Saccharomyces cerevisiae S288C: one gene and its partners. The protein of the gene in region 3 binds, or shares a complex with, the protein of the main gene of each other region. Each region holds a gene or a part of one and is shown on either strand. Other genes may lie near its edges. The genes, in order: MRP51, MRPS5, MRPS9 and MRPS16.

Region 1 (5,187 bases), on a different chromosome or scaffold from region 3:
GTAAAATAGTATTATCCCTTGATTAGTTGTTTACAATTCTTGAAACTTTCCCAAACTGTTGTTTACATTTCTCTAAAACAAAAATAAAAACATGAGCAGGGTAACACTCAAGGGTCCTAAAAAAATTAGGTTTTATTACAGAAATTGTATAGGACATTTTTAATATTACGAGGGTAAATAAATAACAGTCACAGAATAGTATAGGTTATTAAGGGCTTCATGCGGCTATTTTGCCTATATTAATTTCTTTTTTTTTTCTTTTTTCTTTTTTTCCGCTGCTATCGGTAAAAGTTTCCGTTCTTGCTGGAACGAAATGGACAAAACTTAATTGTGATTGAAATTTTTCCAGTCAACAGTTTCGCAATGACGATGCCCAGCCGATTCTTTTCCCTTTAATTGTTATTAAGAAACATGATTATTCATAACTCTTTTCTTGTCGATGGGGGTTGCCTTTCTTTTTCGGTCTTAACTCCATTTATATTTATTTATTCATTTTTATCTATTTAACAGGAAACAGTTTTCTAGTGACAAGAAGGCGTATATCCCACTTAATTCAATATTAGAGTATTCGTATTTGGAATACAGGAAGAGTAAAAATAAGCCAAAAATTCATTACACCTCAATGACTGCCGACAACAATAGTATGCCCCATGGTGCAGTATCTAGTTACGCCAAATTAGTGCAAAACCAAACACCTGAAGACATTTTGGAAGAGTTTCCTGAAATTATTCCATTACAACAAAGACCTAATACCCGATCTAGTGAGACGTCAAATGACGAAAGCGGAGAAACATGTTTTTCTGGTCATGATGAGGAGCAAATTAAGTTAATGAATGAAAATTGTATTGTTTTGGATTGGGACGATAATGCTATTGGTGCCGGTACCAAGAAAGTTTGTCATTTAATGGAAAATATTGAAAAGGGTTTACTACATCGTGCATTCTCCGTCTTTATTTTCAATGAACAAGGTGAATTACTTTTACAACAAAGAGCCACTGAAAAAATAACTTTCCCTGATCTTTGGACTAACACATGCTGCTCTCATCCACTATGTATTGATGACGAATTAGGTTTGAAGGGTAAGCTAGACGATAAGATTAAGGGCGCTATTACTGCGGCGGTGAGAAAACTAGATCATGAATTAGGTATTCCAGAAGATGAAACTAAGACAAGGGGTAAGTTTCACTTTTTAAACAGAATCCATTACATGGCACCAAGCAATGAACCATGGGGTGAACATGAAATTGATTACATCCTATTTTATAAGATCAACGCTAAAGAAAACTTGACTGTCAACCCAAACGTCAATGAAGTTAGAGACTTCAAATGGGTTTCACCAAATGATTTGAAAACTATGTTTGCTGACCCAAGTTACAAGTTTACGCCTTGGTTTAAGATTATTTGCGAGAATTACTTATTCAACTGGTGGGAGCAATTAGATGACCTTTCTGAAGTGGAAAATGACAGGCAAATTCATAGAATGCTATAACAACGCGTCAATAATATAGGCTACATAAAAATCATAATAACTTTGTTATCATAGCAAAATGTGATATAAAACGTTTCATTTCACCTGAAAAATAGTAAAAATAGGCGACAAAAATCCTTAGTAATATGTAAACTTTATTTTCTTTATTTATTTACAGAACTCTGAATATACATTGATTGTTCACATTTTTTTTTTCTCTTCTCAATTTCCCTTGATTATATTCAAAAGGTTATTGGCCTCTTGAATGTTTCCCACTGATGGTCGACGTGCCCTTCTAGAGGTCAATGGTTTATAAATTGGTCTCTTATTGAAAAATTCTCTGGTCTTGTCATTTTGTGGTTCGAGTAATCTAGCGTGCATCGAAACAGAACCATTTTTCTCCATAGATGCCTCCAAGATCTCGAACAAGAACGTTTTCATTCTGATGAAATCTCCCATGGAGTTAAAGGAACTAGGTGGTGATTGGAAAAATACCACATCGGCCACAAACCCACCAATAGCTGCCAGCCATTTATTGTCGTTGTTCTCCTTAACAACGTTCAAGATTCTACCGGGTACTACAGTCCTTTGAATGACACCATTTGGTGAGTTTTTTAGCTTTCCTGGCAAGCTGTATGATAATCCACCTGTACCAATGATTTCAGTGTTAAATTTTTTATTCGTTTTTGTTTCCAACTTTTTGTTTAGAAACTTCACTACATAGTCTTCCAGCTTATTAGAATTCAATTTCAATTCATCCGGATGATTTTCCACCAGCCACTCTTTAAATTCATCTTGAAACGATCTAATTAGTGCTGTTATCTTCTTCAAACGCTTCTTCATAGCAGCAGGCGAAATATCTGTATCTCCTTTCATTTCTTTGAATAAGGACAATTTAGCATGAGACTCATCCTCAGGACGAGATATGTACTTGAAAAATGGATTTTGTCTGCCTATATTAGACACAATTGGTACTCCCATTTCTTGAAATCTTAGCCTATTCCATTGCGTACCGCCTCTAGGTTCGAATGTGGTAATTCTTTCCAACGTATCCAAATCGTTGTACACCAAATATCGAGATTTAATTTTCGAAGGAATAGCGGATTTCAACCCCCATTCTTGTCTGTATAGTGTCGATGGCTTAGTTTCGATGATTTGATGTGTTGGATGAAATTTTTTGCCAGTGTATGTCAATGGTTTATGATTGTTAGCTACTTGAGCTATTCTCGACCGTCCAAGCAACTCTGCCAATGTCATTTCGTTCAATTTTTTCTAAAATAAAGAAAAAGAAAAAGAAAAATGATCGAAACAGTCTCACCAAGGGTTGTAGCAAATGTCTGTATGATTTTTTTTCTTCATCACGGCACCTATTCGTATTGCTCCTTTAACTCTACATCTAAGTTCTTCATTCTTTGATTTCTCAAAACAAATATCACTGTCAACGTAAATATTACCCCGCGAGTTCTTTAACAATTTTAAGGGAAGGTTACTTAAGGTCATCTCTGAAGTAATGCCTTTATTTTATAACAAGGATTATTCATGATTATAAAAGATATCGGTAGTGTCAGTTAAAGGATATTTTAAGAAAAACCCCTTTGAGTGAAAGTATTACAAGAAAAAATGGCAGACTTGCCACAGAAGGTATCTAATTTAAGCATCAACAACAAAGAGAATGGTGGTGGTGGCGGCAAATCATCTTATGTCCCACCGCACTTGAGAAGTAGAGGAAAACCATCATTCGAAAGAAGTACCCCAAAACAGGAAGATAAGGTTACGGGTGGTGATTTTTTCAGACGTGCTGGAAGGCAAACTGGGAACAATGGCGGGTTTTTTGGCTTTTCTAAGGAAAGAAATGGAGGGACGAGTGCGAACTATAACCGCGGAGGCAGCTCAAATTACAAATCATCTGGAAATAGATGGGTAAATGGCAAGCATATACCGGGGCCTAAGAACGCGAAATTAGAAGCCGAACTGTTTGGTGTACACGACGATCCCGATTACCATTCATCTGGTATAAAGTTTGATAATTACGATAATATTCCCGTAGATGCATCTGGAAAAGATGTTCCTGAACCTATACTAGATTTTAGTTCTCCCCCTCTGGATGAGCTGTTAATGGAAAATATCAAACTTGCTAGTTTCACCAAACCTACTCCAGTACAAAAATATTCTATTCCAATAGTTACCAAAGGTAGGGATTTGATGGCATGCGCACAAACGGGCTCAGGTAAGACAGGTGGGTTTTTGTTTCCGCTCTTCACGGAGCTATTCAGGTCTGGGCCCTCTCCAGTACCCGAGAAAGCACAGAGCTTTTATTCTAGAAAGGGATATCCATCTGCTTTAGTACTTGCACCAACTAGAGAATTGGCTACCCAAATTTTTGAAGAAGCAAGAAAATTTACGTATAGATCTTGGGTTAGGCCATGCGTTGTTTATGGTGGCGCGCCAATCGGTAACCAGATGAGGGAGGTTGACCGCGGCTGTGACTTATTGGTGGCTACACCAGGGCGGCTGAATGACTTATTAGAACGCGGAAAAGTTTCTTTGGCTAATATCAAATACCTGGTATTGGATGAGGCTGATAGAATGCTAGATATGGGATTCGAACCCCAAATTCGCCATATAGTTGAAGAATGTGATATGCCCTCTGTGGAAAATAGACAGACCTTGATGTTTTCCGCCACATTCCCAGTAGATATCCAGCATTTGGCACGCGATTTCTTAGATAATTATATTTTTTTATCAGTAGGAAGAGTCGGTTCCACCTCAGAAAATATCACGCAAAGAATATTATATGTCGATGACATGGACAAAAAGTCTGCGTTGTTAGATTTACTGTCTGCAGAGCATAAGGGATTGACATTGATTTTTGTTGAAACGAAAAGAATGGCGGATCAACTCACAGATTTTTTGATCATGCAAAATTTCAAAGCTACAGCCATACATGGTGACCGCACACAGGCTGAACGTGAACGTGCCTTATCTGCTTTCAAAGCTAACGTAGCTGATATCCTGGTCGCAACAGCTGTAGCAGCGAGAGGTTTGGATATACCGAATGTCACACATGTCATTAATTATGATTTGCCCTCCGACATCGATGACTACGTTCACAGAATTGGTAGAACAGGCCGTGCTGGTAACACAGGCGTGGCTACTTCATTCTTCAATAGTAATAATCAGAATATTGTGAAGGGTTTGATGGAAATTTTAAATGAAGCGAATCAAGAAGTTCCCACGTTTTTAAGTGACCTGTCAAGACAGAATTCAAGAGGTGGAAGAACTAGGGGAGGAGGAGGTTTTTTCAATAGTCGTAATAACGGTTCAAGAGACTACCGTAAACATGGTGGAAATGGCTCATTTGGGAGCACGAGGCCAAGGAATACTGGAACATCAAATTGGGGTTCGATTGGAGGTGGGTTTAGAAATGATAATGAGAAAAACGGTTACGGAAATAGCAACGCTTCATGGTGGTAAGCAGAAAGAATAAAAGACTAATCCAAATATAGAACTCCTTTAATTTTTTTCTTTTTATTAATCTCCCTTTTTCCTTTCTTTATCTCTTCGTTTTCACTCCAGTACTATACAGTCATACGTTTTATGCATCCATTAGTCGATGAATTGACTCTTTCACGCTACTTGACCCACGGTACTTCAGTTTTATCAAGTTCCCTTTATTCTGTTGCTTTCTTTCTCTTTTTTTTTCCCAATTTCCTTTTTTT
Region 2 (5,047 bases), 190 kb from region 3:
TTACCAGTGCTACCAAAGCCACCGGCCCCTCTTGCACTTTCTTCCAGAGAGTCTACAACAACGATCTGGGCATCATCGACAATTTTTTCCAGAATCAATTGGGCTACGCGATCACCTTTTTTGATCGCGAAATCCCTCTGTGAATGATTGAATAAAACTACTTTAACTTCACCGGTGTAATCTCTGTCGACAACACCAGCACCGGTTTGGATACCGTTTTTCACTGCCAGGCCTGACCTTGGCGCAATACGACCGTAGGTACCAACAGGTACGGTGAACGATATGTCGGTGGAAACCATACCTTGACCCATAGCCGGAATGGTAATATCCTGAGATGCATAAATGTCGTATCCCGCGGCAGTGGCAGAACCTTTGGTAGGTACAGTAGCGCTTGCTGAGCGCAATTGAATCTTTAGTACTTTGTCGCTAGTAGCAGTCATTTGGTTATTTTTTGGCTCGCTGTATCAGTGCAAACATCTCATTCGAGAACTTAGTTGTTTCTACTTATTAAATGGTAGCGCGTAATATTTTTCCTTTTATAATTTTCAATGGTAGTAAATCAGAAATTATGGAAAAAAAATAAAACTTGGACAGAAAAAAATATTGCTATGAAGAAAAATTGAATATGCTTATCAGCTCATTTGATTGAGTATGTTGAGATATTTACAGGTATTATTATTGCTGTATTTACTTATGTAAAACGAGAGATAATGGTGCGTGTGTATGTACATAGTATTTCAGCTTGAATAGTAAACTTTCCTGACATCAACAAGCTTTTTGCCTCTACCCAGGGCAACCTCATCCAATGTCTTTTGAGCTTTCGTGAAAGCCTCGATGGTACCTTTAGCTATATTCATATCGTTTCTGGATTTATATACTTTCCCACTCAGATCTTTGATACCTGCACATTCACAAATCTCAAAGATTACATGGTTTACACGTAATCCAAACCCTGGTTTTGCACTTCTTAAATGTAGTTTCACACCATGATACCTAAAATCTATATCACCATAAATAGTTCTGTTTTCATACCTAGGTATTTCCTTCAGGTTCCTTACCGCATCCCAATGAGCTTTAAAGATCGCTTTGGACATTTCTTCACGAGATTTACCTTCTCCCAAACCTACCATACCGTTTTTGTCACCAACGACAACCAAGGCATAGAAAGACGCAATTTTACCCTTCCCAGTCTGATTTGACACTCTTTTCATCACCAGCGGCTTCATAGTCAACTTTCTAGTGATATAATCCGGATCTACACCGGTTTGCTTGTGTAGCCCTGCAGCTACATCGGCGCTTTTCGATTTCCGACCACCATCGTTTGGTAAGCTGACTCCTGGAGGCAGAATGTTACCTTCGCCTGGTAATGGTTGTTGTACCTGGTCCCATCTAAAGATGCTGAAGTTATTATTCTCCTCTTGAGCGTGGAGATGGGGCATGCCTGGTTTGTAATCCCAAAAAGGATGTATTTTGGTAAAATCATCCAAATATGGTGGTGCGAATTCCACGTTACGAGATACTCTGAATTTAGTATCTTCTGGTATCGTTTGTTGAGCAAGTTTTATGGATTTTAAAAGACTTTCAGGATAGTACCTTGATAATAGCGACTCATCATAATGCTGTAGATAACGAACACTAGTCGATAATTGCCTCTTGAACATCTTTACCTATTGATCTATGAAATCTGTTTCTTGTATGGTTTACCGTCTACTTTGACAACAATAACGATAGGTCTTTTAGTGGTGCTTGTATTATTGTCTTGTCAATTCGTCTTTTTTTTTTTTTCACTTTAAGGAACTTTACTCCGCGAATAAAAGAAAGCATCACCATGTAATGAAATATATGGGATACATAAATGTATGGGATACATACGACTGTTACTTGCTACCTCATTTGGAGATCACTAGCTCAGTTGTAAAACTTTTCCATTTGATTGAATAAACTCTAACCTTTTTCATACTGGTAGTAAAAGTCAAACCTACGAAAGTTCACATAATAAGGCCTTCACGCCAAGAGAGTCTAGTGTAGTGTTCTTCAGCTCCTATTGATATACTTTTAGTGCCCAAACACGGGATGTTTCAAGTAATTTTTCCTTCTCTAATTTGACAAGGGAAAATATGGCTAGTAATTCTTGTAAAAATGTCTTCTCCTCAGAGTGGGCGGTGCTTATGTATTAGAACCGGTCGAAATATCATAATATACACCGGCCAGTAGAGAACGGACATGGCGACTTGATACATAAAATGTCTATCTCGGAAGCTGATCAACTTGTGAAGTAGTATTATAGATATCAGCGTGCAAGATACTTACAAAAAGAGAGACCTGTAAATTTATTGTTACGTAAATACATAGTAGAATAAGAAACTAATAAAAAATAGTATATGTATATCATGCAAATAAAAAAAAAAAGGATAAAATAGAGGCGTTGTTCTGAGGTACCGAACATTCATAAGCTATTCTCACCTGCTACCATAGAATATAGTGGGGGTTCATCTTGTAGATCACTAATATTTTCAAATTTTTCATATTTGGGTAACAAAGAGCTGGTCGAAATATCACTATCGCCAACTAAAATTGGAAAATTCACCGTAATACGATAATTTTTTTTCATTTCAAGCCCTTCCACCAATTCATTCCTGCTATAGGTTATTCTGAACAAAAGCAAATGAGTTACTTTGAGGGCAGCATGATTGGGATAAAATGAACTTGGTTCACAGTAGAATGTTTTAAACCAGCTCGGTAGACCATCCGCATAGGTTGGGATGACAACGTCATCAAAGCAAAATCCGAAAATGGTCTTGTCGGAATCGAAACTTTGGCTTTCTACAGTTCTTAGTAAATACTCGGACTTTTTAATGTATGGCTCTCGTAGTATTTTCTTGGTCTTCAAATCAATACTTGGTATTGCCATTCTCTGTGCAACTGCCAAAGAAGCTTCCTGTAATTCAATGGAAGAATCTGTTTTGGTAATTGATAATATCATTTGGAAAGGCATACCAATTTCAATCAACTTGGAGTTTCCAATGACCGATACTACGATCTCACTTGCAGTATTGTATGACCTTAATTGAAATGTTTCAAACTTAAGCATACTCGTTGAAGGCAGGACTCTTTTAACTTTAATTTCTTCTGTTAAAATGATCTTATCTGTAAAACTTTCATTCTTCAAAAATTTGAGTAAGTTTTTAGGTTTACTTGGTATTCTCATTATTGTTGTTAAGCTTTCTATTCGAAAATGGGTCTTGCCAAAGAAGGAAGAGAAACTTGCTGGGAAAGTATTTGCTTGAAGGGTAAAAGTGAATGGGTAATCGTACGTGCCCTTTGTCAATAGAATTTTCTTATCATTTAATGAGTGGTGTATGACTCTCAACTGCTGTTTGGGGTAGGTGGAAGACTCAAAAAACTCTGTGTGATTAAGTTCTTTGATAATTTTGTCACTATAGGAGTTTTTGCTAGTTTCTGAATTTACAAAGCATGCATATTCCTTTGTGAAACATTTTAAAGAAATTGAATGGGAAGTGATTAAGAGGGCCTGGTCTTCTCTATCAATGTTTATCCTAATCTTTCCTTTGATTTGTAGAGGAGTGGCTCTTTCTCTTTCAACATTTGTAGATATATTATCCAGTGAGGAATCGTAATACAACGGATAGTCAGCATTCAATTGTAAATCGGAGAACATTAGTGTTTTGTACTTGTTATCTAGATACAATTCAATGCTGTAACCACATTTTTTATCTACAGATGATGTTACATAGGGATTTTCGTACAGCCGTAGTGAATCATAGCAATACTCAAGGTCTTCCTTAGCCTTCTTGATTGTAGTGCCACCATTTTTTAATTTCTTGAGTTGAATTAATTTTTTTGGTAGTTCACCACTGAAATCTTCATTACCAAAATGCTGCCTTATCTCGCTTTGTGTGGAACTTTCAGTCAGAGTAGTGGATCTACTAGATATATTTTCCGAGAACACTTGTGAAACCTCGGAATTAAGTGAAGAAGATGAAGACGAAAACAACATTAGTCAAACAAAAAAGGGAAATTCTATTTGTCTGATTTTGTTGCAAGATAACAATACTGGCAAACATGGGCTTGAGTGCTTAGGAAGAAATCTTGAGGTAGCAGTAACTTCTTTTTATTAAACAGTATGCAGCCGCCCAAAAAACTGCGATGTCGCCATTAGTTATTTTGTGACACAAAAACAAAATCGAAAACAAAAGAAATAGAAAGAAAAAGAAAAAAACAAAGGCTAAACAAGATTCCATTGTGCAGATTTAATGTTTACAATATAATTACATTCGCTCTTTTTGACCCCAGCTGCACAACCCACATAATTCGCATAAAACAATAACAATTGGCCTAACATAGATGCCAAACACACTTCTGACATAACTGAATGCTAGGGTAAAACTCCACACAGGTTTTTGAACACGAACTGCCAGTATACAGCTAGCCTTGAAAGTGATGGAAAACATTGTCATCGGCACATAAATAAAAAAATTATGAATCACGTGATCAACAGCAAATTATGTACTCGTATATATGCAAGCGCATTCCTTATATTGACACTCTTTCATTGGGCATGAGGCTGTGTAAACATAAGCTGTAACGGTCTCACGGAACACTGTGTAGTTGCATTACTGTCAGGCAGTTATGTTGCTTAATATAAAGGCAAAGGCATGGCAGAATCACTTTAAAACGTGGCCCCACCCGCTGCACCCTGTGCATTTTGTACGTTACTGCGAAATGACTCAACGATGAAATGAAAAAATTTTGCTTGAAATTTTGAAAAAAAGATGTGCGGGACGCATTGTTAGCTCATTGAATACATCGTGATCGAATCCAATCAATGTTTAATTTCATATTAATACAGAAACTTTTTCTCATACTTTCTTCTTCTTTTCATTGGTATATTATCTATATATCGTGTTAATTCCTCTTTCGTCATTTTTAGCATCGTTATAAGAGTAATTAAGAATAACTAGAAGAGTCTCTCTTTATATTCGTTTATTTTATATATTTAACCGCTAAATTTAGTAAACAAAAGAAT
Region 3 (4,705 bases):
GGGCTATAGCCGATGCGCATATGAGTAAGTTTGAGTTTTAAGTGGAAAGATTAATAGAAGCCAACTAGTTAATTATCTATTAGTATTTTCTCGTATTTAGGTTTGGCGTAAAGGAAAAATTGAATAAAAACTGTGAAGTCCATCAACAGCGTACCAGCGCTACCGATAAGCCAAGATGCTGAGAGCACTGAGATTATGAAAGAAGTGTTCCCTAAGCATGCAAATAAAAAGAATAGGAATGAGACTCCTTCGCATGATTTTCTTTTGAAGTTAAGAACAATCTGAGGGATCCTAGAGCCCAAGTACAGTATCGCACTTAAATACCCTAAAATTTGTGCAGGTAAATTAATCTGTTCGAACGCAGGTTTTTTTTTAGGAATACCGTTATCTAGGCCGGAACAGTAAGATATATACCATGACAAAATTCCGGCAATAAGTACACCTGAAACAATTAAGAAGTCATTGAAAAAATTCTCTCTTTCCTTTACGACTATTGTTCTGCCAAGCTCAAGCGAGCTATACGATTGGCTATCTTCTTCTTCTATCCTTGGCAAAAGTGGCTCATATTCATTAAAAACGTCTTGTAAGACAGTCTCATTTATGGGGTTTGCTGGAGGCAAATGCACAGGATCAACATTTTTCTTGACTTCTTGTAAAATGCTCTTCTTCTCCTTGTCATACCACATGCACTGTATTAACAAAATTAAATCTGCCAATGTATAGTAAGCAGCTAAAATTATCATGGTTGGGAGTAAATTTTGCATCATAGCTCCCATGACGTTAAATATATCACCTAATAGCCACAACACAATGAAAAGCAGTGATAATCCCTCCGCAGACTGTCTTCGGAAGTTTTCATAAATCTGTGGTACAAACACAACAATCCAACAGCATATTGATATGGATCCAGCCATCCCACTGAGATTCTTAGCATTCAAAATAATTGGGATCAGCTTCATGGCAGAAATTTAGGGATGCTCGCTTGAGGCTATTACGTCTGGGTTATAACAAAATATTGTGGGATATTACAGGAGAATAGTTTATTTATATGCCTGAACCCGGTGTTATTTGTAGTATTTATGGTTTATATTATGACTCTTTTTACATGTAACGGTCATAGTAAAATCTATTCTGATTTGCATCTTATCATCTCCTTCTTTTTTCCAATGGAATTTGAGTCATTGCTGCAAGGCCCCTTTGCTTTGCGGGTGAGAGGAAAAAAAAGATGAAGTATTATGTGCAGTAAGTAGAAGAAAATACTAACTGAGCAATATTCGAATACATATAACTTTATTTACAGGAATAACGAACGAGAGTTGTGCTTCTAATGCTGGGCGGCGTTGTATGCAAAATATATAACGTTTCTTCTGGCATGTGTCAAAAAACTCAGAGCACGCACGCTTCCGTTCGAAATTGAGGTAACAAGATGCACTAAGACTATCTCTTGACCCATGTTGGCATCTTTCTTGCCTTCTTTTTTCCTGGCTTCTTTCTTTCGACGTGCCTGTAATCTCTTGTTAAGACGCCAGCTTTATGTAGTCTGGATTTTAATAATGGATTGAACACAACCAAAGCTTTCGCAATGGCGTGCATGATTGATTCAGCCTGACCCGTAGGTCCGCCTCCAGACGTTGTCGCAAAAATATTGTACTTTCCAACTGATTCGATCACTTGAAGTGGATACATGATTGATTCTCTGTCTTTCATCTTAAGGAAGTAATCATTCAATTGTCGACCATTAACTAATATCTCACCTGTACCTCTAACAACGAATACTTTCGCAGTGGAACTTTTCCTTTTTCCAACGGCTATACTTCTTCCAAACTCATCTAAAGTTTTGATTTTGATATTATTGGAAAGCATTGAACTTTTTTTATAATATTGGGATAGTTCGGATGTGATTTCATCATTAGTAAGTTGAGGATCAATGTTGTGAAGTTTATTCAACATATACAGTAGCTGAGTATATTGCGTAGGCTTTAATTTCGTACCACCGCCGATTAAAGCGTACTCATCGAAAGAAATCCAAGGAGCTTTTGTTTGTTGTGCTTCATTGTTGTTCTGAGATGGCAGTTTTATGTATTTCCTTAGAAGTCTTTCGAGTCGATTAATACGATCTTCATGGTTAGGATTCGCCGAATAAAATGTGGCTAGCTTTGGGACGATCCTTCTGGGCAATTCATCCTCGGTTTTTTGATAAATAGTCCTAAAAGACATTCTCATAGGGGCAGGAGCCAGAGCTGCCCTTCGAAACAAAGAAAGCCTTGAAAACATTCCGCTTGGCTCAAACTCTGTCCACAACGAGTAAATTTTAGCTAATCAATTTAACCAATTTCTACTCCTCCTGGTTTCAGTTTCCAGTCGACATTATTAAATTTCTTTTCCGTAAATGGCCTATTTCAGTTTGTCTTACGCACGCAGTTGCTAGTTTTAAATATATCATTTTATACGTAAAGTTCATCTATATATCACATTATATGTCTCGTAAAACAATGGATTACAAAGAATTAGATATTGAAACGTTTGTATAGGTTGTTCTTGTAAGGCAAAATACCAAATGTCCACCGGTTCTCGCAAAGTACAGAATCACTCGCTATTTACTGAAGTTCAGAAATGGAGTAATTCTCATTGTTACAAATAAATCGTAAAAAGTCAATATCTACAAAATAGCTTATATAAAAAGTAAAAATATATTCATCAAATTCGTTACAAAAGATCATTTAGAAGTCTCAACAACATATCTACCAACAATTTCACCCTTCTCCATCTTTGCAAAAATTTCAGGAACATCCGATAGGCCAGCTAAGTGGATCGGAGATTTGATCAAACCTCTGGCGAAGAAATCTAAAGCCTCCCTTGTATCAGCTCTATTTCCAACACAAGATCCAACGATGGAGATTGATTTTACAACTTGATTGAAAACATCGGAATTGCAGTAAGCATGAGCTGGCATACCAACCAGGACGACAGTACCATTGGGCCTACAATACCTCGTAGAAGCCTCGATAGCTGCTTCAGAAACAGACACATTAATAACTCCATGAGAACCGCCATTAGTGGCCTTTATTATAGCACCAACAATGTCTTTTTCTTCCGTGAAATCGATGAATATTTCTCCGCCTAATTGTTCAAATAACTTTCGCTTGGCATTACCACCATCGATACCAATGACCCTGTAACCCATAGCAAGGGCGTATTGGATTGCCAGAGAACCCAAGCCACCGCATGCACCGGATATAGTGACCCATTGGCCTGGTATCACATTGGCTCTTTTCAACGCCTTATAAACAGTGATACCTGCACACAAGATTGGGGCAACTTCAGCAAGATTGACGTTTGGTGGAATATGGGCAGCTTGAACGGCATCGGCAGTTGCGTATTCTTGAAAAGTACCATCATGTGTGAAGCCAGTACCATCCAAATAAGGACATTGAGATTCATTACCTACTTCACAATATTCACAGGACATGCAAGTCCCATTCAACCATTTTATACCTGCAAAATCACCGACTTTCCAGCCCTTAACGTTAGATCCCAACTTAACAACAACACCAGCACCTTCGTGACCACCGATTAATGGAAATTTCAATTGAAATGGCCAATCACCGTGCCACGCGTGCAAGTCACTATGACAAACACCAGAATATTTAACGTGGACTAAAATTTCGTTAGGCTTAGGTTCCGGAACTGTGACGTCTTTATATTCCAATTTTCCATCTGTCTCATAAAAGACAATAGCCTTTTGTTTTTCAGGAATGACTTGCGAAGGCATGATGCTTTGATTTTGTAGATATGTAGTTAAATAATTTTCTTAGGTATCTTCCAATCAGAGACATTGTGAGACAGTAAAGCAGTAGTTTGCGCTAGAAATATCTTGTAGTCCCTCTTTTATATTCGTAGTATGTTATATAGATTACAATCTAGACAATACGAAGGAACGATCCCGCGTCAGCAGATGTCACAATTTGATTATTTCATTGTCACATGCTTTTTGACTCATCCTTCCGCGAAAGGAGAACTTTTTACAATGCCGCCGGCTCTGTTAGCGTACCCTTCTACAAGCAGATAGCAGAACAAACACATGATATATTCAAAAGGTGCAATGTCAGAGAACATATATTGCGCCCCTGTCCTGTAGACATCAGTCATTTTTCGCGGGACTTGAATGGCGCACCATTATCCTATACAGAAAACATTAAATTTACTGCAAAATTTTGGGCAAACGCTTGGATAGACTATGAATCCGTCATGAAGACACTACTTGTAAAATTATATATATCCTTTTTTTTCATGTGCTAGTAAGAATTAGCAACTACTTTCATTCATCTTCGACGCAACTTCGAGGAAAGCACCTTTTTACTTGCTGTAGCTCTATTCTCTTCCCCAACCACCTTTTCCTTTATTCCAAAATTTTTAAAACTTTTTCTGTTACATTATATAATCTTCTGTCTGAAATGTTTGGATATAACGCCTCTTGATCCACTTTGTATATGCGTGCTATTTATTTTCAGATTTATAAAGAGTATGAGCGTCATTTACATAAATAGCTGAAGTTATTCATGGAAAATACGAAGAGCACGTATGTGAGCCAACAGAACATTTGACGTAAGACTCTACAATGTGCCAAGAACTGGACAAGTAGAGGACTGAGAACTTTATTTCAATTCATTGCTCCTTTTTGGTGGCGCTACCTTTAGCGAAGGTC
Region 4 (4,350 bases), on a different chromosome or scaffold from region 3:
ACACGCCGGCTCTTCTAGGCGATCTCAAGAAAATAAGGACAAGAATTGCAAGCCCGAAGACGCGTTGCCCATCCAACCAGAAGCTCAACATCAAACTCAGGACCCTCAGCCGTTGTTAAATTGTGATTACGATGACATGATTGCATTTGACAGAAACTTGTCCACTCCCGTTTTCACTCCGGTAATGACTCCTATAAATAATAGCAGCTCCAATCAGGCGAAAAGCTCGGATGCCTCGTATTTTCCACCTTACCTCAATGCTAATAGAACCAGACAGAATAGCGCCTCTTCGCTGGCGAGTTCCGTTTCCGATTTCGCTCAGAATTTCAAACAACATACCTTTTACAACAATAACGCTCAATTCACTTCGTTCACACCGCAGTTTGTCGGCCTTCTATTAGAAGTTTACCAAAACACGTGCAGCGATCCTACGATAACTCCGTTTGATACTACAAACCCTCCCTCAGGAATATTGAATAGAGTTGCCAAAGCGGCTATACAGCAATCTGAGCTTCAACAATTGGATATCGGATGTGACAGAAATAGCTGGCTTTTAACATTGGTAAGACAGCGCTTGTTGCAAGAGGTCAGAAAAGACGGCTATCTTTCTCGTAACACTTCTTTAACTTCTTTACCCCCACCACCCCCACCACAGTTTTCTGAAATGCTTAGAGTTCCCTCCCCGTTTGTTAACGCAGATATTACCGATCCAATCCCCTTATCAAACACAAACTCGAATCCGAATGTAAGCTCTACTACCAGCCTGACCAACACGTTGAACTGGTATTCCTTACAAAGATCCAACGTCTCAATGAAGAATAGAAATGGCTCGTCCCAGTATATTTCAGAATTACAACCACAACCTATCTTAGCCCGCACAAATTCTAACAATAGTGTTAGCAACAGTAATGCCTTTTCTTTACTCACGCCAACGCCTACAACAGATTCCGCATTTAATTTTAACATAGCTCTGCTATCGAGACAACGTAGCAATATCATATCGTCCCCCTTAGCTAGTACTCGTTTACCTACAGCAAACGTGTCCACTGAAGAATCCTCTATTTTACCAAATGAATCATTGAAGCTAAAAAGAGATTTATTGCGTCTTAAAAGGTAAATAGTGCCGAACAGTCAGGAGCACACAATACATGACCTATAATGACACTATCTTAATGAAATTCTATTACACTTTCTCTTTTCTTCACATTCGATTAAGAATTTAATTTATTCCATTTCAAGTCTCATTCTCCATTTTCTGGTTGGCCATAGATGTATTATTTACAAGTCTGATAGATATAAAAGCGCCAAGTAAAACATATATACAACATATACATATACACCTCGCATCAATTAAAACACGTTCCTTTGCTTTCCTTTCTTTTTCTTTTTTTTTTTTTTTCCGATCTTTTTCACTCCAATGTTTCCATTCTTTCAAATACAACTTTCCTATTCACATTGCTGTTCTTACTAGTGGCCCATGCATCATTTAATATACCAGCCTTTCGTAATAGTTTAGTAACTGTTTCGCTAGGTTGTGCTCCCACACCAATCCAATATTTTGTTCTATCAAAATCAAGCTTCACGTCTTTAATAGGTACAACGCCCCTCTTCAATTCTCTCTTGGTCACTGGGCTGGGTACCGGCACGTAGGTTCCTAGTACCTCGATCGGTTTAGCATCCCTCGCCTTACGGGAATTAGCCACTACGATATTATAGACCGGACTATTTTTTCTTCCAAATCTAGCTAACCTTATTCGTACTAGACCACAGGTCATACTTGATAAACTCTATTACAATTTCTTAACGGAATACCAGTCAGAACTCCTCCGTTACTTAAGTCGTGTATATATTCCCCTTCCTTTTTTCTTACAACTGTTCTTGGTGTACTATTTCATTTTTTCCGTCCTGAATGATAGATGATCATAATTAGTGAAAATTTTTCTTTTCGCTGCAGTGTTTAAAATTTTAATTATATCATCTCATCTCATCGCGCAATTAGAACTTCCTCGGTCGCAGTTAATTCTCTCAGAGAAGAGTTTTAGTTTGAAAAGGTTCAACTTATTTTTTTACTGATTGAATTCAACCAGGTAATTTCTAGATTTTGAACAGCATCTCGCGAATTGAATCAGCAAATCTCAGAGTTCATCATGGATCAAGACAAAGTTGCTTTTCTTTTAGAGCTGGAGGACAAGCTGGCTAAAATTCGTTCCCAAGTAAACTCTAAATTGGAGAATCAAAAGCATATTGCTATAATATTAACTGCCGTTGAGGAAAATATTGCAGGTCAAGCTACAAATGATGTTTCAAAAAACATTGTAAATTATATCATTTCCTTTATGTCACTATTGGATCAAGCAGTAGACCCATCTACTCATGAAATAAAAGATATTCAATTGGCTTCCTCATCTACATATCTTCTAGATCTGATATTTCATTATTCGCCTAAGGTATTATTAAGATCGAAGTTTTCTGAAATCCTAACGAAAATTGCCCCATGTATCACTGCAGAAAAGGCTAATGCCCCTCTAATTAGAGCTGCTATTGGTTGTTTAGAATCTCTTCTTATTGCTCAAGATGCACAAGCCTGGAACAATACTTATGATCTAAACGTCACTCCAAAAAGAGGTTTGCAGGGTATACTTGAACTTTCTTTAGATGTAAGACCAAAAGTTAGAAAGAGAGCGCTAGATGCAGTTCATGCGGTCTTATTAAACCCTCCTGTTGCACCAACTGCAGAGCATGTAGCGGCAGTTTTTGTAGCAGATTTCTGTGACAAGCAGTTAGCAGGTATTTTAAATGATCTCTCGAATTTATCAAATAAACAATTGAAAGCACAGAAAACAAAGGAAGACATTAACGCTAGTGTCATGCGCTCTCTAAGGTTGATTACTTCAGTCGTCTCTACTGGACAGTGGCCATCTTCACAGATTGAGCCTCTTTGTGATGTACTATTGGGAGTCACCAAAAGCTCAGAGCAATATCTCGTTTCTGCATCATTTGAATGTTTTGAAAGCATGTTCAAAACAATGGCAGAAACTACCATTTCTTCTGGATTGGCTGAAAATAAGTACCTAAGAGTCTTGGATACCATTTTTGCATTAAAACCCTCAAATGTCGATACATTATTAACCAAGTCCTGGATTGCTGTGGTCATTAAGGGTATGTCCACTTACGCAACACATCAACCACTGAAAGCGCTACGTAAAATTCCTGGTGTATTTCACATTATGTGCACATATTTAGCTAGTGAAACTCCAGAAGTGTACCAAGCTGCCTCTCAATGTCTTATCTCAATCCTTTCTGAGTCTGTTAAAGATGATTTGTTATTGTATACACCAAGTGTGGATGAGAAAGTTTTCAAAAACGTAGATGAAATCATCTCTCAAATTGCGAAAACATTTATCGACTTTTTATCCATTAGATATTCCCATTGTTCCAGAGAAATTCTTAAGATTTTGGTGGCAGCATTCAACAAATTCAGATATAGATCTAATCCTCACTTTTTAAAATCACTGAAAATAGTCGATACATGGAGAGTAAATGAAGAACAGTTTATGGATTTGAGAAATGAAATCGAATTAGTAATCGGAGCCTCCATTTCTGCTATGGGCCCTGAAATGATACTCGCAGAAGCACCCCTGAATTTAGACAATCCATCTTCCGAAAGACCTGGCAGGGCTTGGTTGTTACCGCTTATTAGAGATTATACGAAAAATGCGAACCTTGCAACTTTTCAAAACGAATTGGCACCATACATTAAAAGTTTTCAATCTAAGTTCGATAAAGTCCCGGAAGAATCTATTCAATTGAGAGTTTTTCAAACTATTGTTGACCAAATCTGGTCTACACTTCCACGGTTTTGTGAACTCCCAATGGACTTGAGGGAATCCTTCACTGACGAATTTGCCTCAGAACTATCTTCTTTATTATACAGCGAGGTTGAGTTAAGAACTACAATTTGTCATGCTTTAAAGGTCTTGGCAGAAAGCAATGTTTCATATGCCGAAGAGTCCTCTTCTCACAACGTTTTATTGTTGCAACGTTTCCCCATTTCTGAAGCTCAAAAGAATATAGAATACCTTTCAACCAAATCAACGAATCTTCTAGCAGTTTTGTTCAATGTTTATACTCAAACCACTCCAAATGCAAGGAGTTATATTTTGGAAACGATTGATCAATATTTAAAGATTACTTCAAAGGAAGATTTGGAGAAAACTTTCAACAACGTATGTGGTCTTTTGAAGAATTCTATGAATGAAGAAAGTAGCGGAAATGTGAACAAAGAAAAGAAAAAGCCTCAATTGACAGCGACACTATTGGACTTAATCATATGTATGATAACATACTTAC

What was found.
Region 1: MRPS9 (region 3) and MRP51 share a complex: the UniProt entries of both Saccharomyces cerevisiae proteins name them as parts of the mitochondrial small ribosomal subunit.
Region 2: MRPS9 (region 3) and MRPS5 share a complex: the UniProt entries of both Saccharomyces cerevisiae proteins name them as parts of the mitochondrial small ribosomal subunit.
Region 4: MRPS9 (region 3) and MRPS16 share a complex: the UniProt entries of both Saccharomyces cerevisiae proteins name them as parts of the mitochondrial small ribosomal subunit.

Annotation. Positions count from the first base shown.
Region 1 is NC_001148.4:324,166-329,352, reverse strand, and holds MRP51 (mitochondrial 37S ribosomal protein bS1m MRP51), read right to left. Parts: upstream 2,726-5,187; coding exon 1,691-2,725; downstream 1-1,690. Other genes in the region: isopentenyl-diphosphate delta-isomerase IDI1, read left to right, coding at 623-1,489; putative DEAD-box ATP-dependent RNA helicase DBP1, read left to right, coding at 3,089-4,942; YPL119C-A (uncharacterized protein), read left to right, coding at 5,066-5,187. UniProt on the Saccharomyces cerevisiae protein: Component of the mitochondrial ribosome (mitoribosome), a dedicated translation machinery responsible for the synthesis of mitochondrial genome-encoded proteins, including at least some of the essential transmembrane subunits of the mitochondrial respiratory chain.
Region 2 is NC_001134.8:718,004-723,050, reverse strand, and holds MRPS5 (mitochondrial 37S ribosomal protein uS5m MRPS5), read right to left. Parts: upstream 1,662-5,047; coding exon 738-1,661; downstream 1-737. Other genes in the region: DUT1 (bifunctional dITP/dUTP diphosphatase), read right to left, coding at 1-440; SPO23 (Spo23p), read right to left, coding at 2,447-4,018. UniProt on the Saccharomyces cerevisiae protein: Component of the mitochondrial ribosome (mitoribosome), a dedicated translation machinery responsible for the synthesis of mitochondrial genome-encoded proteins, including at least some of the essential transmembrane subunits of the mitochondrial respiratory chain.
Region 3 is NC_001134.8:532,829-537,533, reverse strand, and holds MRPS9 (mitochondrial 37S ribosomal protein uS9m MRPS9), read right to left. Parts: upstream 2,275-4,705; coding exon 1,438-2,274; downstream 1-1,437. Other genes in the region: RTC2 (cationic amino acid transporter), read right to left, coding at 69-959; alcohol dehydrogenase ADH5, read right to left, coding at 2,717-3,772; YBR144C (uncharacterized protein), read left to right, coding at 3,985-4,299. UniProt on the Saccharomyces cerevisiae protein: Component of the mitochondrial ribosome (mitoribosome), a dedicated translation machinery responsible for the synthesis of mitochondrial genome-encoded proteins, including at least some of the essential transmembrane subunits of the mitochondrial respiratory chain.
Region 4 is NC_001148.4:527,576-531,925, forward strand, and holds MRPS16 (mitochondrial 37S ribosomal protein bS16m MRPS16), read right to left. Parts: upstream 1,776-4,350; coding exon 1,410-1,775; downstream 1-1,409. Other genes in the region: CIP1 (Cip1p), read left to right, coding at 1-1,117; mRNA-binding protein RRP12, read left to right, coding at 2,148-4,350. UniProt on the Saccharomyces cerevisiae protein: Component of the mitochondrial ribosome (mitoribosome), a dedicated translation machinery responsible for the synthesis of mitochondrial genome-encoded proteins, including at least some of the essential transmembrane subunits of the mitochondrial respiratory chain.